Linked DNA regions of Lonchura striata. The protein of the gene in region 1 purifies or fractionates together with the protein of each later gene. This does not show direct contact. Links are inferred from orthologs where the notes say so. Each region holds a gene or a part of one and is shown on either strand. Other genes may lie near its edges.

The links.
Region 2: the proteins of EIF5 (region 1) and EIF3G purify together in Homo sapiens (affinity purification with western blotting; 3 studies listed by BioGRID and IntAct, with this or other methods). This does not show direct contact. The link is inferred for Lonchura striata from reciprocal best matches to the Homo sapiens genes EIF5 and EIF3G.

What each region holds. Positions count from the first base shown.
Region 1 is NC_134608.1:10,225,033-10,240,760, reverse strand, and holds EIF5 (eukaryotic translation initiation factor 5), read left to right. Parts: upstream 1-8,111; 5' UTR 8,112-8,186; intron 8,187-8,353; 5' UTR 8,354-8,546; intron 8,547-9,801; exon of another isoform or gene 9,802-9,991; intron 9,992-10,516; 5' UTR 10,517-10,724; coding exon 10,725-10,796; intron 10,797-11,058; coding exon 11,059-11,140; intron 11,141-11,362; coding exon 11,363-11,535; intron 11,536-11,840; coding exon 11,841-11,952; intron 11,953-12,281; exon of another isoform or gene 12,282-12,405; intron 12,406-12,604; coding exon 12,605-12,744; intron 12,745-13,224; coding exon 13,225-13,383; intron 13,384-13,580; coding exon 13,581-13,742; intron 13,743-13,990; coding exon 13,991-14,155; intron 14,156-14,376; coding exon 14,377-14,511; intron 14,512-15,149; coding exon 15,150-15,242; 3' UTR 15,243-15,549; downstream 15,550-15,728.
Region 2 is NC_134623.1:1,632,187-1,647,814, forward strand, and holds the start of EIF3G (eukaryotic translation initiation factor 3 subunit G), read left to right. Parts: upstream 1-8,823; 5' UTR 8,824-8,895; coding exon 8,896-8,915; intron 8,916-10,172; coding exon 10,173-10,222; intron 10,223-11,258; coding exon 11,259-11,351; intron 11,352-12,389; coding exon 12,390-12,478; intron 12,479-13,168; coding exon 13,169-13,228; intron 13,229-14,063; coding exon 14,064-14,168; intron 14,169-15,018; coding exon 15,019-15,208; intron 15,209-15,628. UniProt on the Homo sapiens protein: RNA-binding component of the eukaryotic translation initiation factor 3 (eIF-3) complex, which is required for several steps in the initiation of protein synthesis.

The DNA.
Region 1 (15,728 bases):
CAGCCACAGCCAAAGGACAAATCAAAATAAACAAACCAGAAATTTCTTCTAGGGACATATTATGAAGAGATTTTCAAAGCAGGATTTAAGAACAGAATACTGTCTGTCCATGCCTTAGCAGCATGGACAGCACAATGACAGGCCCTCTAAAAAGCTTTAAGTGCAGTCAATGCCAGTGAGAAGTGGACAAGATAAAAGACACAGAACACAAGTGAAGACATATACAGATTTTCACAGCTCTGGCAGAGCTCTCCCATGCAAGCAATGCATGAGCTTTCAAAAGTGGTCAGAGCAAATGGCTGAAGCTTAGCTGGTCCTGAGTACAGGCTTAAGACTCTGTGTTTTATTTAATATTTTTAGGTACTTGTTGAGAAGCAGTTATCAGTTATGAAAGAGATTACTGTGGGAAACCCATGACTAGTAACTCTCCTTTGATTCATGTGTTCTCATTAGTAGGTCTTTTGAAGAATATATTGCATAGCCTTTTGTGCAACAGCCCTGTGCAGAGTCCACAGATGTAGGCAGACAGATCTCCCCAACGCCAATAATATCACCCAAAGGTCTCTCAGGAGGTATACTGAGATAGGTTAGAATCAGTATGGGAAACACAACATTTTGCAGATCTGGAGCACGATAAGTAAACAGGCAAAAAACAGGTGAATCTGCCACAGCCCAAAGTCAGCTACAAAGCTGCCTTTAAGACCTTTGCTCGGGCAAAAGGAGTCCTGAGTCTCACTCTATAGCAGGTTTGTGCTGGCTCTCAAGCAACTTGGCCAGCAGGCTGAGACTTGGCAGCCCACCACTACTTTTCCTGATTCCCTGCTGCTCCAGGATGTGAGTGAGCTGTGAGCAATCTGGCTGCACCCATCCCAGCATATGCCTCCTGAGCACCAGAGCTAGCACAGAGCTGGACAAGGTGCAGGGGATAAGCTGTTCACCCTCCTGCCCATCCAAATGTTTTTCAGGGTGCAGAACTCAGTAGCTCAGGACTCTCTGCAAAGGAACTCAGTGGGATTCCATCATAGCTGTGAGAGAAGAAATTTCAGCCTTTATCTGTATGACTCAGCTGTTTACTGTAAGTCTCTGTGGGAGCAGCAGTGACACTGAGATTCACAATTCATTGTCTATAAAATAAAAAGAAGTTTTATCAACTGTCTACCAGTAAACATCCTTCAGAGCACATAGACCCACACAGAGATTTACCGTCAAAGCAGATAGACTAAACTATCAAAACCACTTGTACCAGTACTTCTTGTCTCAGTGCACCAGGGAAAAAAAAACAACCAAACAAGCAGGGAAAGTAAAGGCTTTCTTTAGCCACATTAGGTTCAACGAATCAAAAGAACTGGATATCTGATTACAAAATTAAACTTTTATAAGCATATGTCTTTGAAGACAGAAGTATTATAGCCATAATCAGGGGTAAGTGCACAAAGCCAGTACCAGGAATGATGCCTCAGAAGTAAAGTCTCTGAGTTAAACCAGCACATTATCCACTGGTATAAAATGCTGCATCCCCACAGACTTGAATGAGCTCACACATATTTACACATGACCTTCAAGATCCCACCTGCATCCACACACCCTTCCTAACTTGAGAGTATTCATCCATCATCTGGTCATCCATTAATCTGTCAAACATCTCTGCTGGTTTCAGCTGGGGTAGAGTTAATTTGCTTCACAAGGGCTGGTACAAGGATAGGTTTTAGATGTGCAAACAATCAGAAATTAGAGGAGCTGTGTATTTATTACACATTTCTGAATAAGTCATGCCAAATATCTAGGACAAACAATACATTAAGTCCTAAAGAACCCTTTGAAAGCTTTTTGTCTGCTGGAGGCAACAATGAAAAAGTAACATGATAGAAAGGGAACAGTAAATCATTAATGATAATGATTAAAAACTAACTATGGGTGAGATGCAGCAAGTAATACTGAAAACAGCCAGAATATTTTTTGAGTATCTCATCTTTTAGAGGTTGGAGTGGTTGTGAGGAACTTTAGGAAGACCTACTTTGTGTCCTTTATTGCAAATAAGACACAGAAGATACAAAATCCATTGAGAACTATACAACAACATGTTGCAGTTTATTCAGATGTTGCATGTCTACATCAGGCACTGAAGCCAAATTGCTACTGGACTTTAAATTACTTGTGCAAATAAGGCTTAAGAAAAAGGCATCTTAAGGACACTGGTGAAATAAGTATAAATTAGACTAAGTGCCAAATAATGCATTATACATGTGATCTCACTTACATGCACCCAATCATTTTGGAATCCTAAAATCAAGTTCTGAAAAAATTACAGTGTCAAAATGTTCACAGCTACCACATAATGTAATTCAGTTGTGGGTGCCACAGTTTTCCAAATGAGTGTGGTAGCCACAAATCATGATATCATTAGCATTTATTTTAGATCCCTTCAACTCTATGAAAAGGCCTGTTTCAGGAAAGCTTGTATCCTGAGACTATCCCAAGTAAAAAGCTCAAAAACAACCACTAAGATTGGTTAAGATTTTTTTTCTTCAGATAAACCCCTTGAGCTTCAAGGGAAAATTCACTCTACATTATGCTTTTGAGCCTGCACTGGCCCAACTCTTTGTCTTAAGACTTTTGAAAAACTGACTTTGGAAATAACTCAATGCAGTAAAATCCTTCTAAAAATGTTTTCCCTTCAGTGCCTCCTGGGTCATTCTCAAAAACAGAGGTCTACATTAGGTCAATAAAATCATGCTAGACGTTACAGTCAACACTATGTATGACCCAGATTCATATTCAAGGATATTTTTAGCCTCATTTCTTAAACAACCAAGATTTATGCAATGGTGGTGAGTGTGTTTGTGTGTGAGTATGCACCTACCTGTGTCCTCATCACCATTTACCTGTTCCTGAACCCCCTGCATATTTCCAAACACACTGGCATTCACAGGAAGAGACATTATTAGAGCTCCAAGTCAGCTTTTATTAGGTGTCCAAGAATCCCCACCGGCCAAAACCAGACTTAATTTATTACAGCAGTCCTGGAAAACATGTGTGTTATTAGCTGTTTTAATATTGCTACTAGTCTGTGTAATACCCTAAGCATGCCTAACACTTGGCATATGCAAACCATAGGACAAAGATTTTGCCTCTATTTTCCTATTTAAGTACCACTCCCCCTGCTTTGTTTTGTAGTTTGGCAAACAATTTATTTTAGTAATATAAATATTTGAGCTGCAAACCACCGAAGCATTCAAAGCCTTTGGCACTGCAAGGTAGTCATGTATTATTTGCTTCATTACAAAAGGTAATCCCTGTGTTTTTATTAAGAAGCTGGCACCAGCTGTAATCAAGCTGCTGGTTAAACATACCAAACAACCAGCAAATTCTCAGCCATTATGTACAAATTCAACATTATCCTCTAGGACCTGTAGTTCCCTGAAAAATACCTTCAACATCACAAGAGAAGAAACTCTTAGGAATTTAAAATCAGACTTAGGAGAAGAAAATATTTTCTGTGATGTGTCTGCCTGTTTCCAAATGCACAGCACCAGCCAAGCAGCACCTTCAAAGGTTTTGTTTTGGAGAACATAAAATTTTCCTTTGCCTTCAAAACTGGCTTTTCCTTTGTTTTCAGCCCAAGCATCTGGGATGCCATATCCTCTTCCTAGAGCTGCCAGCAGAAGCACAAACTTAACTCCTAAGTGGGCCTCAGTACTGCCTCCAAAGCTCAGCTCTCCCAGCAATGCCCTTGTATTTTTCTACAGCAAAGAAACTCCTCCTTGCTCAGATGGGCAGAAGAAATGAGCAAAACCTGCTGCACCCAGCAGGGCAGACCCCGAGAAACAAGATCAGCAGCCACATTTTGGCTCACAAGAGAAGGGCTGTGAGAGCACTTAAGATCTCCAGGGTGTCCCCAGTCTGGGAGGAGGTTTGGAGATAGGCTCTCAATACCAGGGGCTACCACATTTTCCCTTAGGAAAAGTAAAAATCTAAAAGGTAACTCTAAGTACTCATTACTCTTTTTTACTACTTAGAATTAAATCTGCTGGGAAATCTATAGTGATAATCACAGTACTGGTTGCCAGACCACCAGAAGCCAATGAAAAGGGATGAAGGGGGATTAATCTGTGGAGGTGATGGCAAAGCACGACAGCTGCAGAGGGCCTGAGCAATTTCTTTAGGGAAATAGAAGTGCAGATTGCTAAAATGGCACTGGAAGAGAGATTTAACTAAACACACAGGCAGATCTTCATGTCTGAAGCTTGACTATGATAAGAAGCAGAGAAATGTAAATGCAGTGGTTACTAATGGGCATTATGAGCAGACAGGCAGCTTTGACAGCATGTTCTCAGCTGGAAGCTGTACTCCCAGGGACTCTTATCTTCCACATCCACTTCTTTCAGCAACCATATAAATGTAGCAGGCAGATTTGCCAACCACAGCATGCAACTGCTGGATAATGGTAGTGGTTGCCAATAAGGCCCATAGCCAAAACTGATGCCTAGACAAACTGAGAAAACCAGGCTTCCCTGATTCCTATCACCAGCATTTCCACTTTCTGGTGAGACACACAGAGAAAAGACAGGTTTCCAAGGCAGAGACTTCACTGCTATCAAACACTGGTTTGTATTCTGAAGAGAAGCTGATTGCCTCTCCTTGCTGTGGTGACTCCCTTGTGTAGGGACATACACTGGAAGAGAAAGAGGGAGGGTACAGGAAACCTCACTAGTGAGAAGACCAGATCTAGGGCAGGGCTCAGGCTGTCAGCTGACACTGAACCCAGACCCAAAACACTAGCTGGGAGATTCTAGTATTTCTGCATGGTAATAGAAGCAACAAAAATGACTTCCATTAATAATGGCTCTGTGTGTGCAACATCACACACTTACTTTCATGTTTTTCTCTGTTTACTAATTCCTGGAAAGAAAAGCATTTCATAAAGTGAACCTCCCCAAGACGGCCAGTGAGGTGCTGGACAGAAATTACTCTGAAGCTCCTGAACAGTAAAACCAGAATTAACCTCTGCCCTTGTGAATGATCAATGTCTAGCGTCAATCCTGATGGATTTCGGACCCACCCTTCCCTAAATGTTAGCTATTCCAACTGACATGTAAATAATTAAACTTTCTCTACACACTGCCAAGATAGGAAGAAGAAAGGCTATTGCTGTTCCACATAACTATAGATAAGCTTGGCCCTCCTTCCATCTCCTGAAATTACAGCCAAAGCCAGCATGAGGAGGAATCCCTTACTCAGGTGCTAACGTTCCTGCCTGCACTGCATGAAATAAGAGCTCTGACCCAGCCTCTGGGAGAAAACACACGCAGCAGAGACAAAACATTCTTCAAGGCCAAGGTTACCAAGAGGGCACTGAATTAGGGTTATGTTTGCAGCCAGCCACACCACTGAGAGAGGACAAGCTCGCTGAATAAACCACAGAGGGACATCAGGTTATCAATCGGGGATTTAAAGGACACATTGTAACTGTTCAGTTGACAAACCTAATTCTGAAAATGTTAAATATGTTAAGAATTTCAATAGAGTTTTGATTTTGCTGCATTGTCACAGTCATTGATTCTTGGTTATTTCTAATAAAAACCAGCTAAGGCAACATGGAACAAACTTGGTTTGTTCAAGGCTGAACTCAGCAATAATAAAGCATTTCTATGACAAGGAGAAGCACCCTAAATTCAACTGTGGAAATTTTCCTATTCTTAGACGTGAAACCATTTGGAAAACCTGACTTACTAATGTAATTTAAAATGTCATATCTACAAAAGTATGTATAAAACCTGCATAGTTTCTGTCAATAAAACACAAAGTACACAAACAGTCTGTATTTTGAAGGTCACACAAGCAATGTGTACTATGAACTTTGGGATTCATGAAATTGTGACATTTTAAAGTGGGAGGAGAGAAAATATTTTTCTGTCTTGTCCATATTGTGAAATATTAAAATGAACAAACTGTAAATATTAAGATTCAGTAAAAAATATTTTGAATCTAACATTTAATATTAATTAATTTTCTGCTGAGGAAAAAAATCAACAACTAGGCACCATGAAGTCAATAATCCATAATTTTGGTCTGATTTGCATGATCCAGGAGAATGTCATGTGGCTTCACGTGGATAAGACCTGCTTTTTGCAGAAGAAACACCATCTTAAAAGTACCTCTTTAATTTTTGTCAATTTATATACTATATTTAAAAACTATCTTCCTTTGTGCTATTAATTGTAAGGGTTCAGAGTTATTCATAATATCAAATAGTACCAAATCCTGGGTCTCTTTCCCAGCAGTTCTCTAAGTGGTGTTGGCAACAGTATACTTTAACACTTGTAATTTATTAACCCCCTAGGTGTTGTAATAGGGAGCTAAAGCCACAGTCAGGAGGCATTTAGCAAGTTATATGTGCTACATAGTTTCACAGCAAAGGATTTTCTGCGGTGCTTTTCTTGCCTCACACTTTTTTATTACTTTTTTCCTCTCCTGGTAACTGCCAAGCCCTACATACTTTGGAGATGCTTCCTTATTTTGCCCTAACATACTCTCTCCCATTTCAGAAAGTGTTGCCGTGCATTTATCAAGAAGACATTTTACATATCCTGAAGAATGTTTACCTTTTTCAAATGCTGATAGTGAAGTCCAAGACAAACTTACATGATGGACCCTGCATCCCCAGAGGTGCCCAAGGCCAGGTTGGATGTGTCTGGTCTGGTGGATGGTGTTCCTGCCCATGGTGAGGGGTTAGCACTAGATGATCTTTAAGGTCCCTTCCAACCCAAACCATTCCATGATTCTTTACAGGACAGTGTCCTGGCTAGAACGACCAGCTATTCCACGTACTGAAAGGAGACATGTAGGAGGGGCAGCTAACACAATGAGGGTTTTGATAGAAAGCACCAAGATGTGCGCATTTATCTCGGGTTGCTTTTTCATTGTTGCTGTATGCTACTGGAAGTGGCAGTAGTCCTGCTTTTGTGACTTGCAAGAAAACATCATTTATCAGCCACCTTCCTGAGTGCAGTTCTTCTGCATATTCGACCAAAAATGTTCAATATGTACTTCAAGGTTCAACAGGAGTGATGTCTCCTTTGACCACATCTACGTGATATCGAAGTCAGGCAGGAAAACTACACATTAAAACCAACTTTAGGCAGGCAGAGATTTAGAGCATTATTTAATGTCACTACTAGTTTTATTGTCATTCCCTCTCTTTTCCTCTACTCCCACAGAGCCATCAAGAAGCTGGCTGCCCACTCAGTTCATAAAGTCAGGGAAAAATTCTTTGCCACCTGAACATTATTGACACTGTAAAATCCCCAAAACATATAACTCCTGTGATACTGGAGGAGCGTAGATGGAAGATGGGAAAGAACGAGAAATGGAAAAAAGGATGCAAGTTTTCTGCTTTTTATGTGAAAATAAATCAAGATATGCATTTCATTCAGGATCTCAATTCAGCTACATAGGGCTGGCAACATTTTCCACTAAGAATAGAGTACATGCTTACGGCACTTGTGTCATTCTTTGTAAGGCACCCAGAGCCACCCAACGCTGAGCCTTTATGACACGGGAATTAAACAACAGGCTCTTCCCCAACCCCACAAGCCGGCTGTGCAGGAAAAACACAACTTATTCAGCAACTTAATTGCTTTGAATTCTTTGTATTATTACTTGTAACATAGTTGCTGAGATGTCAAGCGCTGGGTCACTGCCCTCCAGGGAGTAGCTCGCCCCCCACCCACGGGCAGAGTTTGGGCACACCTGGCAGGACGGAGGGGCCGGGGGAAGCTGGGAGCGCCCTCAGCCCCGGGGAGCGCCCTCAGCCCCGGGGAGCGCCCTCAGCCCCCTCAGCCCCTCAGCCCCGGGGAGCGCCCTCAGCCCCCTCAGCCCCCTCAGCCCCGGCCCCGCCGCACCGGCCCGGCCTCGGCCCCCCCCGCCCCGCGCTCTCTCGCGAGACTCGGTCGCTGTAGACGCGATGTCCTTTGGGGCACTGGCGAGGGGGAGGACACGGGGGAGGGAGGCAAAGCCTTGATTGATAGCGGCGTTCACCAATAGGCGAGGGGAGCGGCGAGGTTTTAGCCAATAGCTTCACAGCGAGGGGAGCGGTGAGCCAATGGCGACGGTGGGGGGCGGGGCGCAGCGCTGGCTGATTGATCCCAGCTCTGGCGTTGTTCAGTCGGAGCGAGAACATTCTAGAGGTGAGTACGGGGCAGCCATTGCCGGGTCCCGTTCGCCGGCCCCTGCTGCCTCAGCTGCGCGCCTCTCGCCGCCTCTCCCTCCCCCCTTCCCTCTTCTCCCCCCTCCTCTTCCCTCTCCCTCGCAGGTGCCGCCGCTAACGATGCTCCTGATTGTATCTTGCCCGCAGATTGCCCGGCGCCGCTCTCCCTGGTGATACCGCCCGCCCCAGGACGCCGGGACCCGGAGGCTGCGGCGTCCGCCTCCGCCTCCCTCTCCGTCTGGATATAAGCGCCCCCTCGGCCCTGTTCTCCTCTCACAATCGGCTTCGTCGCAGCCCGGGGCGAGCAGCGTTGGGTTTATGTCTTTATTGGACGAAAACGGTGAGTGCTAATAGTGGGCTAGTGCGGGTGAGGGCAGCGGGGTAAGGGGAGCGGGGGCCGGCGGGTGGTTGGGGCCGGGCTGGGGCCTCAGGCTGCCGGTGAACGGTGGAGATTCGCAGAGGTTTTGTGTAACGAAGCGTCCGGGACTTTGACGGGAGGGGGAGGAGAAGCAACGCGGGGCGGGGGAGCAAACAACATAAAACCGCACAACAAAACTCAACTCTGAAAGCAGTAAACCTTCATCTGTGGGGTTATTGTTTGCTGTTGGGGCGGGGGCGAGGGCGAGGATTTTTTTTTTTTTTTTTAATTTATATTCGTTTCGCCGCCGCCATGCGACGAGACAAGATGGCGGCGGCGGGGCCGCGCCTCCCGCGCTGTGCCCGGGGGGGGCAGTGGCGCAGTTCCCACCGGGCGCGGGGGGGGGCGCTCGGCCCCGCTCCCGGGGGGCGGCGGGGGCTCCCCCGTGCCGTGCGGGGCGCATGCGCGGCCGGCGGCGGCTCCCGGCGCTGAGTCAGCGTTTAATTGCTGCATTTATGAGTCACCGGCGGCGGGGCGGGGGCGCGGCGCTGTGCGGCAGGGAGCCGGTGTGCCTTCCCGCTCTGTCCTCCGTGCGCGGCGAGGGGGGGTGGTGCTTGGGATGAGGTGGTGTGGGCACCAGGAGAGGGAGCTGCAGCCTGCAGCGGATCAGTGCTGCGCTCTGGAAGGGGGGGAAAACGGTACGCTCCTTCTGGGAGCTCGGCCACCGAGAGAGCTGCTTCCTCGGCATTTCTAAAGACACGTGGTCAGGTTACACCGCGGCTCTTTTTAGACATCCTGGGGAAGGAAATAGTGTGTTGTAAACGGAGTCCTAGCGGTGTGGTTTTTGCTGAGGAAGGGTAAAATTGTATCAGGGCTAATGTAGAAGACAAGGCACATAGAGATCTATGTTCTTATTGTGTAAAGAAGTTGTAAACGTGACCAGAGGACTCGGATCATGTTGCACCATAGGCACGCTCTTCCACATAAATACTAAGAAAGCTTTTTTAATGTGTCAACGCTTCTGTCATTAACGATAACAACGTGATGACGTGTCAGAATAGCCATGCTCTGTAATCAGGGTTGCCTGTGTACTCAACCAATTGTGGCTTAAGTACCATTAGATCTGATTATAGAAGCACGTGTTAATTTAAATATGTAAATACTGCTCAAGGCAACGTTAATAATAGGATTCATCCTCCTTCCCCTTCCTCCCCCCCTCCCTTTCCCCCAAGAAAAAATCAACTGGAAAAGCTGCTGCACTGCTCTGTACCTCTGCATTGCTAGGCTTTCTACAGTGAAGCAACTTCTGTCAGATTTTATCAGGCTTATTGTTAAGTCAGAACTCAACAGAAGCTGCTATGAGAATCCATAAGTGAGAGAGAGAATTACGTAATTTTCAACTCTTTTCCACTCCGATTCAAAAACTGGTAAGCCATGTAGAAACTGTTGGGCTACAGATTGCTGCTGCTTCATCTTACTTATATTTTGCAACATTTTGGCAGACTTCAGTTTGTGATAGGTTCATGATGTGGAATTTGAAATGGATTTCCAAATATTTCTCCTGATTTCCTGTGCCCTTCAGCCTGAAACTGTACCACGTGACCCTTATGGCGCAAGTCACTGGTCTGCATAATCGAGGCGTGTGCCCTTCCTTAGTCATCCCAGAACTCCTGCTGGAATTAATTGTATAAAAAAGTAGTTGTAAGCTGTTCAGTGGTTTTAGGGCAGTAAGAGAGGGTGGAAAGCTTGGTGGTGCAGTTAAAGAAAAGTTCCTTAGCAGTACAAGCCAAGGATGGATTTCAGTTCCATAGGTTGAAGAAAGCCATAGCATAAGAAATGTACTTTTCCCTTTATTCACCTTAAATATCATGCATTATATAGCTTTGTGGCAAGAGTGGATTGATGTACATGAATCTAAACTTAATTTTTTTGTGTGTTGTTAACACTTGCAGAGCTGTTGCGCAGCCACTGGTACCTGTATTGGGGAAACATAGCATACAAGCAAGAACCTTACAGCCTCAGTGGCGAAAATTTTTTCATGTCAGAGACCGAGAACTCTTGCAGTCGTTTATGTCATCCCGTCTTCTCCAGACAGAAGATACCAAAAAACTGCAATCAAAGATCTCTTCATCTTATTGATAAAGCTACTAATAAGGCAAAATGTCTGTCAACGTCAACCGCAGTGTTTCAGATCAGTTCTATCGCTACAAAATGCCCCGTCTGATTGCCAAGGTAACTTCCTAAGCAGCAGCTGGAAGCAAAGCAGGGAGTGTTCTCCCATAACTGGTTTTCCCAGGGTGGGAAAGAGAGGCCAGGATAATGCTTGGTCACTCAGAGCAGGGAGGATGTGCCCTCCTCCGGTCCACACTAAGTGCATGTTAGTCTTGGAAGGAGTTGCACTTCAAAGCGGAATTTTGGTGTAGTTAAATGGAAATGCACACTGGGTTTGGCTGTTGCAAACATTTGACCTTAAAATATTATTTTTTTTCTGTAGGTGGAGGGCAAAGGAAATGGAATAAAGACGGTTATAGTCAACATGGTTGACGTTGCAAAGGCGCTTAATCGGCCTCCAACGTGTAAGTATTGTGGAATGACACAGCATTTTGTAATGCTTTTCTGTTTGAAGTGGTAGTGTGAATTGGCTAGTAAAGCATTAATACTGTTCCTTAAAGATTTGTAGGAAAAAAACATGATTATCTCAGGATTAAAGAATGGACAGAAACAGTAGCCTCTACTTGCTCTTTAAGAATCAGAACAAAGATATGAATGTGGTAATGGCTGTAATTCTTCCTTTACAGATCCTACCAAATTTTTTGGTTGTGAGCTGGGAGCACAGACCCAGTTTGATGTTAAGAATGACCGTTACATTGTCAATGGATCTCATGAGGCGAATAAGCTGCAAGACATGTTGGATGGATTCATTAAAAAATTTGTTCTCTGTCCTGAGTGTGAGAATCCTGAAACTGATCTGGTGAGTGCTCTGTCTGCATTAACAATGACACCATGGAAACACTGTGTTAGGTGTTTATGAAAGCGGTGCAAAGTTAAGAGACTTCAGTATCTATGAACAGAAATTAAAGTACACATTTTTGCACCTTTTGGGAAGGTTTTGCATCTCTAACAGTTCATAACTTCTGGGATAAATTATTACTTCTAAACTTTGTCTTTAGAGGGTGATACTAAAGTATTTGAACCTCTGGCTTAAAATGTAGACATCAGGCTTTAATGCAGTTGTTCTGTAAGTAGTAAATTAACTGGAGGTTGTTCTCTTTACAGCATGTCAATCCTAAGAAACAAACTATAGGTAACTCTTGCAAAGCCTGTGGCTATCGAGGCATGCTTGACACAAACCATAAACTCTGCACGTTCATTCTCAAAAACCCACCTGGTAAGTGCCTTTCCTTACCTCTGGGGATAAAGAGAACTGTATTAGTGGTGTTATGGAAGTAGAAAAATAAATAGCTCACATTTAATTGAAATGTAAAAAGGCACCAGCATACTCCTAGAGTGTTTTTGGGGATCAAGATTGAAGGAGCCATACTGGTAATGTTTTTTTTCCTTACAATGTGTTCTTCTCAAGTGTAGCAATTGGTTAAAAGCTGGATTTGCCTGTGCAGGACAAAACTTACAAGAAAGGAAGGTAGTTAGCTTTAGGTCAGCATGAAATGTGAGAGCAGGAAGTAAAAAACTGTAGTAAATGCAAACTGTAATCTGTGCAAGCAACACTCTGTAGTAAGCATCTAGTTGCCTGCTGCAATTTAAGCTTGCTAGAATAGAAAAGTCTAACCTATTCCAGGGGTCTCTGCTTTGTGAGGTTACCTGTTATATAGACTTGGACAGTCTTGGTGACAAGCAAGACTGGCTGCAGCTGGGGGTTTCCCCACCAAATGTACATCTTCCCTGAGTGTGTTTGGGGATGGGTACTACCCATAACTTGCAGCTAATGACAGCATCCAAACCCACTTGGGGATTTGGCAAAGGTGCAGGGACTTTCTAGTTTGCTCTAGTTCATAGAACAAAACATTAAAATTCACTTGCAGAAAGTGGTGACACTGGTACAGGAAAGAAAGAAAAGGAGAAGAAGAACAGAAAAGGCAAGGACAAAGAGAATGGTTCTGTGTCCAGCAATGAGACACTTCCACCCCCACCACCAGAGGAGATTACTCCTCCACAGGTTGTGGTAAGTAGAAGGGAAAGTGGGGAGATGAGGGTGTGTGTTATGTTGCTCAGATTTAAATCTCTGAAGTCACTGGCATTCCTTGCTGGTCAACATTGCACCTAAAAGTCTTACTTTATCCAAAACTTAGTGCCGGAATAGAAGGGTCCCTGATTTTACTCTATAGCATCTTTATCAGCTCATCAGTACCAGAATTTATGCTCCTTACTAAGTCAAAGCTGCCTATCCTTTATCACTCCTTTTCAGGCACCTGTGTACTAGGTAGAATGGTTGAACTGCAGTTCAGGTAGCCCTGCATATGGCTATAGAATTAGGTTTAGCTACCATTACTTCCTATATTTGCACTTTCACCGTGATCGTTGACTTGGAAATTTTATTCCAAACATTTCTTAAGGCTGTCAAGTCTGTATTATTTCTATCCTCATGTCATACTAAGCTTGCAGTAATATTTTGTGGCACTCTTGTTTTGGTTTTGTATTGTAGGAGGAGGAGGATGATGATGACTGGGGTGAGGACACAACAGAAGAAGCCCAGAGGCGTAGAATGGATGAAATCAGTGACCATGCGAAAAACCTCACACTTAGTGAAGACCTGGAAAGAACTATAGAGGAGAGAGTCAACTTACTGTTTGATTTTGTAAAGGTAACTACTCTCTGGTTGTTGGCTTGATGTAATCGCTCGGCTGTAATTGTACAACATGTTTGTGAGGAAACCAAAAGCAACTTGCTCGAGCTCCTGCAGAGTGCTGTCTCTACCAGCAGTGGGAAGGGATGACTGCGAAGAGCATGAATGCAGACCTCAAGTGGCATTAAAATGTTTCTATACCTGTTTCCCTCTAGAAAAAGAAGGAAGAAGGTGTCATTGATACTTCTGACAAAGACATTGTAGCAGAAGCAGAGAGACTGGATGTAAAGGCTATGGGCCCACTTGTTCTCACTGAAGTCCTTTTTGATGAAAAGATTCGTGAACAAATCAGAAAATACAGACGTCACTTCCTTCGTGTAAGCCATCTCTTCTGCACTCACTGTGACAACTGTTGGCAGGTTTTTGTAGCAGTTGCTTGGTACTATGGGGAAGGACTTTTTGTAGTGTTTTATTTTTAAACTTCTTGGCTAGGGGGAGCTGCTGGGAAGGGATAATATGAATTACTGTAAACTTTGCAATCTCATAGAACTGCTTCTGCTCTGTTCAGTGTGGAGAGAGGGTAAAAAAGCTCATTCAATCACTTCTGCTTCTATCACAATTCTAGTTCTGCCACAACAACAAGAAAGCTCAGAGGTACCTTCTCCATGGCTTTGAGTGTGTGGTAGCTATGCATCAGTCTCAGCTTATTTCAAAAATACCACATATTTTGAAGGAAATGTATGACGCAGATCTTCTGGAAGAAGAAGTCATCCTTGGCTGGGCAGAAAAGGTAAAGGACAGTTTGTAATGTACTGTAGCAATTAAATACCTGAAGGTAGCTTAGTGCATCTGGCTTCTCCATTCCTGGTGTAACTTGTGGACCAAGAGGCCTCCTTCACAAAAATGGGCTGTGGAAGGCAGTGGGTGAGATCAGAGTTCCAGTTCAGGCAGTATTTGGGTACAATCTGGTGTAAGCTCCTTCACTGTTCACTCAAAGTATCTGTCTTTCAGGCCTCAAAGAAATACGTTTCAAAGGACCTTGCCAAAGAAATCCGTGTCAAAGCAGAACCATTTATTAAATGGCTAAAGGAAGCTGAAGAAGAATCTTCCGGTAATGAAGAAGAGGATGAAGATGAAAACATAGAGGTAGGAAAGGCTTGCTTACTGTCAGCAGCTCCAAGGCTGCTCTGTTCCTGCATGCTGAAGTCTTGTAACCTTGTCCTGGTGCACTCTGAAATTGATTACTTGGGGTATTAGTGTGCATGTTGGGAACAGGAGGAACACTCAGTTTACAGTGCCTTTTAAGTGCTGCTAATTGGTGTCAACGATATCTACATGATATCAGTGTAATGCAGTTGCACCTGGGTAGTCCAAGACCGTGCCATTCTACAGTGGCAGTAGCAGTTCACGTAGTGCAAGGTTGACAGGGGGTATCAAGCATCGTGTCTCATGTTGTAGATGAGTTTGTTAGATAAGCTGATGGAAGAATAACTGACCATTTTCCTCACAGTTCAGCCCTGGGTGTAATCTGTTGGTTACACTCCAGCTGGCTGTGGCTGGGAGTGTTTTTACACAGGGATTGGTTGGTTGGTCTCCTCCCAGCATTGTATTATTCTCCTCCTGAGTAGGAGATGCTGCTTCCCCCAGATGTACACGCACAGTTCTGCCCTACAAAGCAGGGATTCATGAATGGCCATGGGCAGGAGGGTGGTTGGGTGTTGGAATTACTCCAGTGCTTAGTGGCAGTAGGTGCTGTAGTTAAAGGAAGTGTCTTGTCTCCACAGGTGGTGTACTCCACAACTGCCAGTGTACCTAAAGTTGAAACTGTGAAGCCTGCAAACAATAAAGATGATGATATCGATATTGATGCCATTTAAAGTGATGCAACATAGCTTCCAGCATAGTAATGCAAACTTCTCTGCATTTTCTGCCAGAAGTGTGACTTGTATGTGCACAAGCTGAAATGGCTTAACATCCTGCTACTTTGTACTCTAAAAAATGTATCTTTTTACTGTGACTGGTCTTGTGTAACTAAGCCTAATACCAAGGAGTCAGCACGTCGGTGAACTGATCGAGTTTGCAACTGGCATGTTCTATTTTGTTTTTCTAACTTGTGTTGGACACATACTTGGAGCACATTTATACAGTTGTGGAAATAAAGGATTTGGTTTTGGTCAATCTTCATTTGTGATTCAACCCCCTTATTGCTTTTCCAAGTAAGTATTTACACAGCTCAGCGAAATTTGTGAAGCTGATCACACAATGACAATCTCTTGAATGAAACAAAATCCCACCTTAACCACCCTAGAAGCTGTTCCAACAGTGGAGATTTGAAACCTGGGCAAGAAGCACGTGTTGGGTAA
Region 2 (15,628 bases), on another chromosome or scaffold:
CCGTCCCTTGGGTGGGCTGTGTCCCCGGGGCGGGCTGTGTCCCCCGGGGCGGGGTGTGTCCCTTGGGTGGGCTGTGTCCCTTGGGTGGGCTGTGTCCCTTGGGTGGGCTGTGTCCCCGGGGCGGGCTGTGTCCCTTGGGTGGGCTGTGTCCCCGGGGCGGGGTGTGTCCCTTGGGTGGGCTGTGTCCCTGGGGTGGGCTGTGTCCCTTGGGTGGGCTGTGTCCCCGGGGCGGGCTGTGTCCCCGGGGCGGGGTTGTGTCCCCGGGGTGGGCTGTGTCCCTGGGGCAGGGTGTGTCCCTTGGGTGGGCTGTGTCCCCGGGGTGGGGTGTGTCCCTTGGGTGGGCTGTGTCCCCGGGGCAGGGTGTGTCCCTTGGGTGGGCTGTGTCCCCCGGGGCGGGGTGTGTCCCTTGGGTGGGCTGTGTCCCCGGGGCGGGGTGTGTCCCTTGGGTGGGCTGTGTCCCCTTGGGTGGGCTGTGTCCCCGGGGTGGGCTGTGTCCCCGGGGTGGGCTGTGTCCCCGGGGCGGGCTGTGTCCCTTGGGTGGGCTGTGTCCCCGGGGTGGGCTGTGTCCCCGGGGCAGGGTGTGTCCCTTGGGTGGGCTGTGTCCCCGGGGCGGGGTGTGTCCCTTGGGTGGGCTGTGTCCCCGGGGCAGGGTGTGTCCCTTGGGTGGGCTGTGTCCCCGGGGCAGGGTGGGTCCCTTGGGTGGGCTGTGTCCCCGGGGCAGGGTGTGTCCCTTGGGTGGGCTGTGTCCCCGGGGCAGGGTGGGTCCCTTGGGTGGGCTGTGTCCCCGGGGCAGGGTGGGTCCCTTGGGTGGGCTGTGTCCCCGGGGCGGGCTGTGTCCCCAGGGTGGGCTGTGTCCCTGGGGTGGGCTGTGTCCCCGGGGCAGGGTGTGTCCCTGGGGTGGGCTGTGTCCCCGGGGTGGGCTGTGTCCCCGGGGCGGGGTGGGCTGTGTCCCCGGGGCGGGGTGGGCCCGTGCCCGGCTGGGTGTGGTGCCAGCGGGGCTGTGCCCGCAGGCCGGGCAGTACGGCGTGGCGCAGACGCGGCGCCGCGCCATCGTGCTGGCGGCGGCGCCGGGCGAGAAGCTGCCCATGTTCCCCGAGCCCCTGCACGTCTTCGCCCCCCGCGCCTGCCAGCTCAGCGTCGTGGTGGACGACAAGAAGTTCGTCAGCAACATCACCCGGTGAGAGCCCGGAATGCCGGGCGGGAATCCCGGTTCGGCATCGGGGATGCCGGGAATCCGGCACTCGGCGATTCCGGTTTGGCAGCTCGGCACTCGGGGATTTTGGTTTGGGAATTTGGCACTCAGGGATTTTGGTTTGGGAATTTGGCACTCAGGGATTCTGGTTTGGGAATTTCGCACTCGGGGATTCTGGTTTGGGAATTCGGCACTTGGGGATTCTGCTTTGGGAATTCGGCACTTGGAAATTCTGTTTTGGGAATTCGGCACTTGGAAATTCTGGTTTGGGAGTTTGGAGACTTGGAGATTCTGGTTTGGGAATTCGGCACTCAGGGATTCCAGTCTGGGAATTCGGCACTCAGGGATTCCGGTTTGGGAATTCGGCACTCGGGGATTCCGGTTTGGGAATTCGGCACTTGGAAATTCTGGTTTGGGAGTTTGGAGACTTGGAGATTCTGGTTTGGGAATTCGGCACTCGGGGATTCCAGTTTGGGAATTCGGCACTCGGGGATTCCAGTCTGGGAATTTGGCACTCAGGAATTCTGGTTTGGGAATTTGGCACTCGGGGATTCCGGTTTGGGAATTCGGCACTCAGGGATTCCGCTTTGGGAATTCAGCACTTGGGGATTCTGGTTTGGGAATTCCGAGTTCGGAATTTGAGTTGTGAGTTTCAAGATAGGAATTCCGCATTGGGAATTCCAAGTTGGAAATTCTGAGTCGGGAGTTCCGAGTTGGGAATTCTCAGTTGGGAATTGGGAGTTGGGAATTCTGAATTGGGAGTTCCAAGTTGGGAATTCCAAGTTGGGAGTTCAGCGTTGGGAGTTCTGTGTTGGGAATTCCGTGTTAGGAGTTGCAAGTTGGGAATTCCGAGTCGGGAGTTCCACGTTGGGAATTCCGCATTGGGAATTGTGAGTTGGGAATTCTGAGTCGGGAATTCCAAATTGGGAATTGCGAGTTGGGAATTCCGCATTGGGAATTGCGAGTTGGGAATTGTGAGTTGGGAATTCTGAGTCAGGAGTTCCACGTTGGGAATTCCAAATTGGGAATTGCGAGTTGGGAATTCTGCATTGGGAATTGCGAGTTGGGAATTCTGAGTCGGGAGTTCCACGTTGGGAATTCCGAGTCGGGAATTCCAAATTGGGAATTGTGAGTTGGGAATTCCGCATTGGGAATTGTGAGTTGGGAATTCTGAGTCGGGAGTTCCACGTTGGGAATTCTGAGTCGGGAATTCCAAATTGGGAATTGCGAGTTGGGAATTCCGTGTTGGGAATTCCGCATTGGGAATTGTGAGTTGGGAATTCTGAGTCAGGAGTTCCACGTTGGGAATTCTGAGTCGGGAATTCCAAATTGGGAATTGCGAGTTGGGAATTCCGCATTGGGAATTCCAATTTGGGAATTGTGAGTTGGGAATTCCGCATTGGGAATTGCAAATTGGGAATTGCAAGTCGGGAATTCTGAGATGGGAATTGCGAGTTGGGAATTGCGAGTCAGGAATTCTGAGATGGGAATTGCGAGTTGGGAATGCCGCGTTGGGAATTCCGCGTTGGGAATGGCGAGTTGGGAATCCCGTGCCCGCAGGACGTACTCGGGCCCGTTCCGCACCATCACGGTGCGGGACACGATGTCGGACCTGCCGGAGATCCGGAACGGCGCCTCGGCGCTGGAGATCTCCTACAACGGCGAGCCCCAGTCGTGGTTCCAGCGCCAGATCCGCGGCTCCCAGTACCAGCCCATCCTCAGGGATCACATCTGCAAGGTGGGAACGGCACCCGGAGCCGCCGGATCCCGCCGGAGCCGCCCAAATCCGGGATGGGGGAGCTGCTGGGAACTGCCGGGAATGGTGGGGCTTTGGGAATGGCGGATTTGGGAATGGGCGAGGTGCTGGGAATGGTGGATTTGGGAATGGGCGAGGTGCTGGGAATGGTGGAGGTTTGGGAATGGCGGATTTGGGAATGGGCGAGGTGCCGGGAATGGTGGGGCTTTGGGAATGGTGGATTTGGGAATGGGGGAGGTGCTGGGAATGGTGGATTTGGGAATGGCGGATTTGGGAATGGGGGAGGTACCGGGAATGGTGGATTTGGGAATGGCGGATTTGGGAATGGTGGAAGTGCTGGGAATGGTGGAGATTTTGGGAATGGTGGAGGTGTTGGGAATGGTGGAAGTGTTGGGAATGGTGGATTTGGGAATGGTGGGGATTTTGGGAATGGTGAATTTGGGAATGGTGGAGGTGCTGGGAATGGTGAATTTGGGGATGGTGGAGGCATTGGGAACGGTGGTTTTGGTAGTGGTGGGGATTTTGGGAATGCTGGATTTGGGAATGGTGGGGACTTTGGGAACGGTGGTTTTGGTGGTGGGGATTTTGGGAGTGCTGGATTTGGGACCGGTGGGGATTTTGGGAACGGTGGTTTTGGTGGTGGGGATTTTGGGAATGGTGGTTTTGGGACCGGTGGGGATTTTGGGAATGCTGGATTTGGGAGCGGTGGGGATTTTGGGAGTGCTGGATTTGGGAGCGGTGGGGATTTTGGGAATGCTGGATTTGGGAACGGTGGGGATTTTGGGAACGGTGGTTTTGGTGGTGGGGATTTTGGGAATGGTGGTTTTGGGAACGGTGGGGATTTTGGGAACGGTGGTTTTGGTAGTGGTGGGGATTTTGGGAACGGTGGTTTTGGTGGTGGGGATTTTGGGAATGCTGGCTTTGGGACCGGTGGGGATTTTGGGAATGCTGGATTTGGGAACGGTGGGGATTTTGGGAACGATGGTTTTGGTGGTGGGAATTTTGGGAATGCTGGAATTGGGACCGGTGGGGATTTTGGGAATGGTGGTTTTGGTGGTGGGGATTTTGGGAATGGTGGTTTTGGGAATGGTGGGGATTTTGGGAATGCTGGCTTTGGGAGCGCTGGACGTCGCGGGCCCCGGCGGCGGTGCCCAACGCGGCCCGTTGTCGCCGGCGGCGGCAGGACATGAGCGCGCTGGTGGCGGCGCGGATGCGGCACATCCCGCTGGCGCCCGGCTCCGACTGGCGGGACCTGCCCAACATCGAGGTGCGGCTCTCGGACGGCACCACCACCCGCAAGCTGCGCTACACCCACCACGAGCGCAAGAACGGCCGCAGCAGCGCCGGCGCCCTGCGCGGCGTCTGCTCCTGCGCCGAAGGTGGGTGGTGGACCTCCGGAAACACGTCCCCGGCCCGGCGGGCGCGGCCGTTCTCCCGGAAATTCCCGGGGTTTGGTTTTTGGTGGTGTTTTGGTGTTTCCCAGGGAAGCCGTGCGACCCGGCCGACCGGCAGTTCAACACCCTCATCCCGTGGTGCCTCCCGCACACCGGCAACCGGCACAACCACTGGGCCGGCCTCTACGGGCGCCTGGAGTGGGACGGCTTCTTCAGCACCACCGTCACCAACCCCGAGCCCATGGGCAAGCAGGTGGGGGCGGGGGGCCGCGGGCACGGCCGGCGGGGGGTGTTGGTGGGGGTCACCGGTGGCCACCGCGCCCCAGCCTTCGATGGTGGCCAACGGTCGTCGGTGTCCCAACGGTTGGGCGGGTTGCTTGGTGGCGACCGATGGCCACCGTGGCCCCGTGGTTGGGTTTGATGGTCTCCAATGGCCACCACGTTGGGTGTGGTGGTCAGTGGTGGCCACCATGTTGGGTGTGATGGTCTCCAGTGGCCACCACGTTGGGTGCGGTGGTCTCTGGTGGTCACCACATTGGGTGTGGTGGTCTCCAGTGGCCACCATGTTGGGTGTGGTGATCTCCAGCATCCACCATGTTGGGTGTGATGTTCTCCAATGTCCACCATGTTGGTGTGGTGGTCTCTGGTGGCCACCACGTTGGGTGTGGTGGTTTTTAGTGGCCACCATGTTGATGTGGTGGTCAGTGGTGGCCAGCATGTTGTGTTGGTGGTCAGTGGTGGCCAGCACATTGGGTTTGGCGCACCGTGGTGGCCAGCACGTTGGGTTGGCGCTCAGTGATGGTGGCCACCACGTTGGGTTAGTGATGCATGGTGCCCACCATGTTGGTGGGTTGGCGCTCCGTGGTGGCCAGCATGTTGGTGTGGTGGCCACCACATTGGGTGTGATGGTCTCCAGTGGCCACCACGTTGGGTTTGGTGGTCCATGGTGGCCACCACGTTGGGTTTGGCGGTCAGTGGTGGCCACCACGTTTGGTTTGGTGGTCAGTGGTGGCCAGAACGTTGGTGTGGTGCCCACCCCGTTGGGTTTGGCGGTCAGTGGTGGCCAGAACGTTGGTGTGGTGCCCACCCCGTTGGGTTTGGTGGTCCGTGGTGCCCACCCCGTTGGGTTTGGCGGTCAGTGGTGGCCAGAACGTTGGTGTGGTGGCCACCCCGTTGGGTTTGGTGGTCTGTGGTGCCCACCCCGTTGGGTTTGGCGGTCAGTGGTGGCCAGAACGTTGGTGTGGTGGCCACCACGTTGGGTTTGGTGGTCCATGGTGGCCACCCCGTCGGGTTGGTGCCGTTGCAGGGCCGCGTGCTGCACCCCGAGCAGCACCGCGTGGTCAGCGTGCGCGAGTGCGCTCGCTCCCAGGGCTTCCCCGACACCTTCCGGCTCTTCGGGAACATCCTGGACAAGCACAGACAGGTGGGTGGCACCGGCACCGCGGTGGCACCGACACGGTGTCCCCTTGTCCCCTTTGTCCCTTTGGGCACCGACTTCTTGTCCCTTTGTCACTTTGTCCCATTCTCCATTGTCCTCTTGTCCCTTTGTCCTATTGTCCTTTTGTCCCATTGTCCATTGTCCCTTTGTCCATTGTCCCTTTGTCCATTGTCCAATTGTCCATTGTCCCATTGTCCATTGTCCCATTGTCCCATTGTCCCATTGTCCCATTGTCCCATTGTCCATTGTCCCTTTGTCCATTGTCCAATTGTCCATTGTCCCATTGTCCCATTGTCCCTTTGTCACTTTGTCCCTTCTTCCATTGTCCCATTGTCCATTGTCCGTTTGTCCCTTTGTCCCAATGTCCTCTTTTCACTTTGTCCCAATGTCCCCCTGTCCCCCTGTCCCCATGTCCCATGTCCCTCTGTCCTTCTGTCTGTCCCTCTGTCTGTCCCTTTGTCTGTCCCCTGTCCCCTGTCCCATGTCTCTCTGTCTGTCCCTCATCCCCATGTCCCTCTGTCTGTCCCCTGTCCCCATGTCCCTCTGTCTGTCCCCATGTCCCTCTGTCTGTCCCTCTGTCTGTCCCCTGTCCCTCTGTCTGTCCCTCTGTCTGTCCCTCTGTCTGTCCCTCTGTCTGTCCCATGTCCCTCTGTCTGTCCCTCTGTCTGTCCCTCATCCCCATGGCCCTCTGTCTGTCCCCTGTCCCCATGTCCCTCTGTCTGTCCCCATGTCCCTCTGTCTGTCCCTCTGTCTGTCCCATGTCCCTCTGTCTGTCCCCTGTCCCTCTGTCTGTCCCTCTGTCTGTCCCCTGTCCCTCTGTCTGTCCCCATGTCCCTCTGTCTGTCCCTCTGTCTGTCCCCTGTCCCCATGTCCCTCTGTCTGTCCCCATGTCCCTCTGTCTGTCCCTCTGTCTGTCCCCTGTCCCCATGTCCCTCTGTCTGTCCGTCTGTCCCCAGGTGGGCAATGCGGTGCCGCCTCCCCTGGCCAAGGCCATCGGGCTGGAGATCAAGGCCTGCGCTGTGGCCAAAGCGCGCCAGGACACGGCCGGTGAGTGACCCTGAGTGACCAGAGTGACCCTGAGTGACCAATGAGTGACCCTGAGTGACCAATGAGTGACCACTGAGTGACCACTGAGTGACTGCTGAGTGACCAGAGTGACCACTGAGTGACCCTGAGTGACCCTGAGTGACCAATGAGTGACCACTGAGTGACCACTGAGTGACTGCTGAGTGACCAGAGTGACCACTGAGTGACCCTGAGTGACCCTGAGTGACCACTGAGTGACCAGAGTGACCACTGAGTGACCCTGAGTGACCAGAGTGACCAATGAGTGACCAGAGTGACAAGAGTGACCACTGAGTGACTGCTGAGTGACCAGAGTGACCACTGAGTGACCCTGAGTGACCCTGAGTGACCCTGAGTGACCAGAGTGACCAATGAGTGACCCTGAGTGACCCTGAGTGACCCTGAGTGACCCTGAGTGACCAGAGTGACCACTGAGTGACCCTGAGTGACCCTGAGTGACCCTGAGTGACCAGAGTGACCACTGAGTGACCCTGAGTGACCCTGAGTGACCCTGAGTGACCAGAGTGACCAATGAGTGACCGCTGAGTGACTCTGAGTGACCAGAGTGACCAATGAGTGACCAGAGTGACCATGAGTGACCCTGAGTGACCAGAGTGACCAATGAGTGACCCTGAGTGACCCCGGGTGACCACTGAGTGACAGCTCAGTGACCATCCCATTGTGTCCCCATGGTGTCCCTACTGTCCCCTGGGTGTCCCTGTGTCCCCTCACCATCCCTGTCCCCTGGGTGTCCCCGGGTGTCCCCTGGGTGTCCCTGTGTCCCCTGGGTGTCCCCTCTGTCCCCTCACTGTCCCTGTCCCCTGGGTGTCCCCTGGGTGTCCCCTCACCATCCCCGTGTCCCCTCACTGTCCCCGTGTCCCCTCACTGTCCCAGTGTCCCCTCACTGTCCCTGTCCCCTGGGTGTCCCTGTGTCCCCTGGGTGTCCCCATGTCCCCTCACCATCCCTGTCCCCTGGGTGTCCCCTGGGTGTCCCCTGGGTGTCCCCTCACCATCCCCGTGTCCCCTCACTGTCCCAGTGTCCCCTCACTGTCCCTGTCCCCTGGGTGTCCCTGTGTCCCCTGGGTGTCCCTGTGTCCCCTGGGTGTCCCCATGTCCCCTCAGTGTCCCCATGTCCCCTCAGTGTCCCCGTGTCCCGCAGGTCTCGCCGCGGTCCTGGTGCCTCCGGAGCCGTCGGGAGCGGCCGCCTGAGCCCGGCCGGAGCCGGGGGGGCCGGGGGGGCCTCGGCTCCGGGGCTGCTTCGCCTTCGCCTCTGCTTTCAGTTGCCTTTTGGTCTTTTTTCCCTTTTTTCCCCTTTTTTGATTTATTTCCCCTTTTTTCTTTTTTTTTTTTCCTCCTTTTCTCTCATTTTTTTTCCCTATTTTTTCTTGTTTGTTCTCTTTCTTCCCTCCCTTGTTTTTCCCCCTTCTTTCTATCCCTTTTTTTCTTTCCCCTTTTTCCTCTTTATTTTCCTTTTTTCTCCTCTTTTTAAAGATTTTTTTAACCCCTTATTTTCCTCTTCATTTTTTCTTCCTTTTCCCTTTTTTTAATTCCTAGATTTTTTTTTCTGGCTTTTCATCTCCTCCTTTCTAAAACGCTTTTAATTTCCCCAATCCGCCTTTCGTTTCTCTTTGTTTCTTTTTATTTTAATTCCTCTCCCTCCACTCTCTCTGTGCTGCTCCAACCTCCCCTTCCCCCCCTCAGGGCCCGGCCCCGCTGCCCCGTTTTTATCGCATTGTACCGAACCCCCCCGCGGCCGCTTTGTACAAGGTGGAACTCGATACTTTATGTAGTTTTTATATGTTGTAATATTTCTTCAAATAAATCGCGCCTATAAGTTATAACCAACTCTCGCCCCGCGCTCCGAGCAGGCCGCGGCCGCCATGGCGCCGTTGCTCGGCAACCGCTTCCCGCCCTGCCCCGCCGGAAGTGACGCGCGCGGGCCGGAAGTGGCGCTTGGCGCTTCCCGCCCTGCCCCGCCGGAAGTGGCGCGCGGGGGGCCGGAAGTGCCGCGCGGCCTTTCCGGTGTGGCGGCGTGAGGGAGGCGGAGGCGATGCCGGCCGGGGACTACGAGTGAGGGGGAGCGGGGACGGGAACGGGAACCGGGAACGGGGGCGGGGATTGAGGAGCGGGAACCGGGAACGGGGAACGGGAATGGGGACCGGGACCGGAACCGGGAGTGCGAATCGGAACCGGGAACAGGAATCGGGATTGGGATCGGGAATCGGGAACCGTAACCGGGATCGGGATCTGGGATCGTGAACCGGGACCGGGATTGGAACCGGCAGTGGGAATCGGAACCGGGATCAGGAGTTGGGATCGGGAACCGGGCTTGGGAATGGGAACCGGGAGTGGGGACCGGGAACGGGACTGGGAATTGGGACCGGGAACGGGACTGGGAATTGGGACCGGGAACGGGAGTGGGAATTGGGAGGTGGGACCGAGAACCGGGAGTGGGAACGGGGACGGGAATGGGGACCGGGAACGGGAACCGGGAGTGACAGCTGGAAACGGGACTGGGAATTGGGATCGGGAACCGGGATCGGGAATGGGAACCGGGAGTGACGGCCGGCACCGGGAACCGGGAGCGGGAACCGGGAGCGGGAACCGGGAGTGACGGCCGGCACCGGGAACCGGGCACGGGGCCTGCGGGGGGGTCCCGGGAGGGTCCCGGGGGGTCCTGGGGGCTTCGGGCAGGGCCGGGGCCGTGAGGGGGAGGCGACAGAGGGGACAGGGACACCCAAGGGTGGCACAGGTGGGGACAGGGGCACCCAAGGGTGGCACAGGTGGGGACAGGGGCACCCAAGGGTGGCACAGGTGACAGCCAGGGTGGCACAGGAGGGGACAGGGACACCCAAGGGTGGCACCGGGGTGGCACAGGGACACGGGGGTGGCACAGGAGGGGACAGGGGCACCCAAGGGTGGCACCGGAGGGGACAGGGGCACCCAAGGGTGGCACCGGGGTGGCACAGGGACATGGGGGTGGCACAGGAGGGGACAGGGGCACCCAAGGGTGGCACAGGTGGGGACAGGGGCACCCAAGGGTGGCACCGGGGTGGCACAGGAGGGGACAGGGGCACCCAAGGGTGGCACAGGTGACAGCCAGGGTGGCACAGGAGGGGACAGGGGCACCCAAGGGTGGCACCGGGGTGGCACAGGGACACGGGGGTGGCACAGGAGGGGACAGGGGCACCCAAGGGTGGCACAGGTGGGGACAGGGGCACCCAAGGGTGGCACTGGGTTGGCACAGGGACACGGGGGTGGCACAGGAGGGGACAGGGGCACCCAAGGGTGGCACAGGTGCCAGCCGAGGCCGTTGTGTCCCCACAGCTCCAAGCCCAGCTGGGCTGACCAGGTGGAGGAGGAGGGAGGAGAGGATGGTGAGTGGCACCTGGCACACCTGTGACACCTGGCACACCTGTGGGGGTGGCACCTGGCACACCTGTGACACCTGGCACACCTGTGACACCTGGCACACCTGTGGGGGTGGCACCAGTCACACCTGTGACACTTGTCACACCTGTGGGGGGTGGCACTGGCACACCTGTGACATCTGGCACACCTGTGGGGGGTGGCACCGTCACACCTGTGACACCTGGCACACCTGTGGCACCGGTCACACCTGTGGTACCTGGCACACCTGTGACATCTGGCACACCTGTGGGGGGTGGCACCGTCACACCTGTGACACCTGGCACACCTGTGGCACCGGTCACACCTGTGGTACCTGGCACACCTGTGACACCTGGCACACCTGTGGGGGGTGGCACCGTCACACCTGTGACACCTGGCACACCTGTGGCACCGGTCACACCTGTGGTACCTGGCACACCTGTGACACCTGGCACACCTGTGGGGGGTGGCACCGGTCACACCTGTGGTACCTGGCACACCTGTGGGGCTGGCACCAGCACACCTGGCAGGGCACACCTGGCACGGATGCCACCTGGGACATCTCTGGGGGGTGGCACTCAAGGTATCTGTCACACCTGTGGCACCTGGCATGCCTGGCACACCTGTCATACCTGGCACACCTGTGGCACCTGGCACACCTGTGATACCTGTGGCACCTGGCACGTCTGTCAAACCTGGCACACCTGTCGGGGTGGCACCTGTGTCCTTGGGGACAAAGAGCTGTGCCAGGGGCTGGGGGGACTGGTCCAGGTGAGAGGGGTCACCTGTGCCCGGGTGAGCTCAGGTGAGGTTACCTGTGCCCAGGTGAGGTTACCTGTGCCCCAGGTGAGCCCAGGTGAGGTTACCTGTGCCCCAGGTGAGCTCCCTGTGCCCGGGTGAGCCCAGGTGAGGTTACCTGTGACCAGGTGAGCTCCCTGTGCCCGGGTGAGCCCAGGTGAGGTTACCTGTGCCCAGGTGAGGTCACCGTGCCCGGTGCCCACCTGAGCCCCCTTACCTGTCCAGACAAGGTGATCACCAGCGAGCTGCTGAAGGATCTGCCCCTGCCCGGGGTCCTGGGGGGCGCCTCCAGCGCCGAGGCCGAGCTGCTCAAGGGAGGTGAGAGGGCACCGCTGGCACCGCTGGCACACCTGGAGGGGAGGGACACACCTGGGGACACACCTGGATGGGAGGGACACACCTGGGCACACACCTGGATGGGAGGGACACACCTGGGGACACACCTGGGCACACACCTGGGCACACCTGGATGGGAGGGACACACCTGGGCACAGCTGGATGGGAGGGACACACCTGGGCACACACCTGGGCACACACCTGGATGGGAGGGACACACCTGGGTACACACCTGGGCACACACCTGGATGGGAGGGACACACCTGGGGACACACCTGGGCACACACCTGGGCACACCTGGATGGGAGTGACACACCTGGGCACAGCTGGATGGGAGGGACACACCTGGGCACACACCTGGAGGGGAGGGACACACCTGGGCACACCTGGATGGGAGGGACACACCTGGGCACACACCTGGGCACACACCTGGATGGGAGGGACACATCTGGGCACACACCTGGAGGGGAGGGACACACCTGGGCACACACCTGGAGGGGAGGGACACACCTGGGGGCACCTGGGGATACACCTGGATGGGAGGGACACACCTGGGGGCACCTGGGGAGCCCTGGGGGCACACCTGGGCACACCTGGATGGGAGGGACACACCTGGGGGTACACCTGGATGGGAGGGACACACCTGGGGGCACCTGGGGAGCCCTGGGGGCACACCTGGGCACACCTGGATGGGACGCACACACCTGGGCACACCTGGATGGGAGGGACACACCTGGGCACACACCTGGGCACACCTGGATGGGAGGGACACACCTGGGCACACCTGGATGGGAGTGACACACCTGGGCACACACCTGGATGGGAGGGACACACCTGGGGATACACCTGGATGGGAGGAACTCACCTGGGCACACCTGGATGGGAGGGACTCACCTGGGCACACCTGGGGAGCCCTGGGGGCACACCTGGGCACACCTGGATGGGAGGGACACACCTGGGCACACCTGGGGAGCCCTGGGGGCACACCTGGGCTCACCTGGGCACACCTGTCCCCCCCAGGGCCCCTCCCGTCCCCCAAGGAGGTCGTCAACGGCAACATCAAAACCATCACCGAGTACCGCGAGGAGGAGGACGGGCGCAAGGTCAAGGTGGGCACGGGGGCACAGGTGGGCACAGGTGGGCACAGGTGGCACCTGAGCCACAAATGTGGCAGCTGAACCCAAATTTTGGCACCTCTGAGCCCCAAATTCGGCACCTGAGCCCCAAATTCGGCACCTCTGGACCCCAAATTTGGCGCCTCTGGACCCCAAATTCGGCACCTGAGCCCCAAATTTGGGTTTTTGGGGCTCAGGTCCTCCAGGAATTCCCAAATTTGGGTTTTTCGGGGTCAGGTGCTCCAAGAATTCCCAAATTTGGGTTTTTTGGGCTGAGGTCCTCCAGGAATTCCCAAATTTGGGTTTTTGGGCTCAGGTGCTCCAGGAATTCCCAAATTTGGGTTTTTTGGGCTGAGGTCCTCCAGGAATTCCCAAATTTGGGTTTTTTGGGGTCAGGTCCTCCAGGAATTCCCAAATTTGGGTTTTTTGGGCTCAGGTGCTCCAGGAATTCCCAAATTTGGGTTTTTGGGCTCAGGTGCTCCAAGAATTCCCAAATTTGGGTTTTTTGGGCTCAGGTGCTCCGGGAATTCCCAAATTTGGGTTTTTTGGGCTCAGGTGCTCCAGGAATTCCCAAATTTGGGTTTTTTGGGCTCAGGTGCTCCGGGAATTCCCGAATTTGTCCCCTGAGGGCCCCAGGTTTGGGGTTTTTGGGATTTCCCGGCCCCATTCCCGCGTTTTTCCCAGATCATCCGAACGTTCCGGATCGAGACCCGCAAAGCCTCCAAGGCCGTGGCCCGGCGCAAGGTCAGGGGAAAATGGGATTTTCCTGGAAAAATGGGATTTACCTGGGAAAAAATAGAGAAAAAATGGGATTTACCTGGGGAAAAATGGGAAAAGAATGAGATTTACCTGGGGAAAAATGGGATTTACCTGGGGAAAAGGGAAAAAATGGGATTTACCTGGGAAAAATGGGATTTACCTGGGAAAAAATAGGGAAAGAATGGGATTTACCTGGAAAATGGGATTTACCTGGGGAAAAGGGAAAAAATGGCATTTACCTGGAAAAAATGGGAAAAAAATGGCATTTACCTGGAAATGGGAAATGGGATCCACCTATGAAAAAAATGGGATTTACCTGGGGAAAAATGGGAATAAATTGGATTTACCTGGAGAAAATGGGATTTACCTGGGAAAAATGGGATTTACCTGGAAAAAAATGGGAAAAAATGGAATTTACCTGGGAAAAATTGGATTTACCTGGGATAAAATGGGATTTACCTGGGGAAAACGGGATTTACCTGGGAAAAAATGAAAAAATGGGGTTTACCTGGAAATGGGATTTACCTGGAAAAATGGGAAAAAAATGGGATTTACCTGGGAAATAAATGAGATTTACCTGGGCAATAAATGGGAAAAATTGGGATTTACCTGGAAAATGGGATTTACCTGGAAAATGGGATTTACCTGGAAAATAAATGGGATTTACCTGGAAAATGGGATTTACTTGGAAAATAAATGGGATTAACCTGGGGAAAAACGGGAATAAATTGGATTTCCCTGGGAGACGGGATCGGGACCGAGGCGTTCCCACGGGCGCATTTCGGAATTTCCCGGGATTTTGGGATTTCCCCTCTCCCAGAACTGGAAGAAATTTGGGAATTCCGAGTTCGACGCCCCCGGGCCCAACGTGGCCACGACGACCGTGAGCGACGACGTCTTCATGACCTTCATCACCAGCAAGGAGGTAGGGACAGCTGTGCCCAGGTGTGCCCAGGGGTGCCCAGGTGTGCCCAGGGGTGACCAGGGGTGACCAGGTGTACCCAGGTGTACCCAGGGGTGACCAGGTGTGCCCCCAGTATGTCCAGGTGTGCCTAGGTGTGCCCCCAGGTGTACCCAGGTGTGCCCAGGGGTGACCCAGGGGTGCCCAGGTGTCCCCAAATGTACCCAGGTGTGCCCAGGGGTGACCCAAATGTACCCGGGTGTGCCCCAGGTGTGCCCAGGGATGCCCAGGTGTGCCCCCAGGTGTGCCCCCAGGTGTGCCCCCAGGTGTGCCCAGGTGTCCCCAAATGTACCCGGGTGTGCCCCAGGTGTGCCCAGGGGTGCCCCAGATGTGCCCAGGGGTGACCCAAATGTGCCCAGGTGTGCCCCCAGGTGTGCCCAGGTGCCCTCAGGTGTGTCCCCATCCCGCAGGACCTGAACTGCCAGGAGGAGGAGGACCCCATGAACATCTCTAGGTGTGCCCCATGGCCACGTGTGCCACCAGCTCTGTCCTAGGTGCCCCCAGGTGTCCCCAGGTGTCTCAAGGTGCCCTCAGGTGTGCCCAGGTGCCCCCAGGTGTGCCCAGGTGTGCCCAGGTGTCCCCATCCCGCAGGACCTGAACTGCCAGGAGGAGGAGGACCCCATGAACATCTCTAGGTGTGCCCCATGGCCACGTGTGCCACCAGCTCTGTCCTAGGTGCCCCCAGGTGTCCCCAGGTGCCCCCAGCTGCCCCCAGGTGCCCTCAGGTGTCCCCAGGTGCCCCCAGGTGTCCCCAGGTGCCCCCAGGTGCCCTCAGGTGTGCCCAGGTGCCCTCAGGTGTGTCCCCATCCCGCAGGACCTGAACTGCCAGGAGGAGGAGGACCCCATGAACAAGCTGAAGGGCCAGAAGATCGTCTCCTGCCGCATCTGCAAGGGCGACCACTGGACCACGCGCTGCCCCTACAAGGACACGCTGGGGCCCATGCAGAAGGAGCTGGCCGAGCAGCTGGGGCTGTCCACGGGCGAGAAGGAGAAGCTGCCCGGAGGTGGGACCCCAAACCCCAAATCCCAAATTTTTTTGGGAATTTTTCCCGTTTTTGCACGGTTATGGAGCCCCAAGGTCATCCTGGTGGTCCCATTGTTGCTGTGGTGGCCCCGTGCAGAAGGCACAGCTGGGGCTGTCCACGGGCGAGAAGGAGAAGCTGCCCGGAGGTGGGACCCCAAACCCCAAATCCCACTTTTTTTGGGAATTTTTCCCGTATTTTTCCCATTTTTGCACGGTTATGGGGCTTTAAGGTCACCATGGTAGTCCCAAGGTCACCCTGGTGGTCCCATTGTTTCTGTGGTGGCCCCGTGCAGAAGGAGCAGCTGGGGCTGTCCATGGGCAAGGAGAAGGAGAAGCTGCCCGGAGGTGGGACCCCAGACCCCAAATCCCAAATTTTTTTGGGAATTTTTCCCATTTTGAC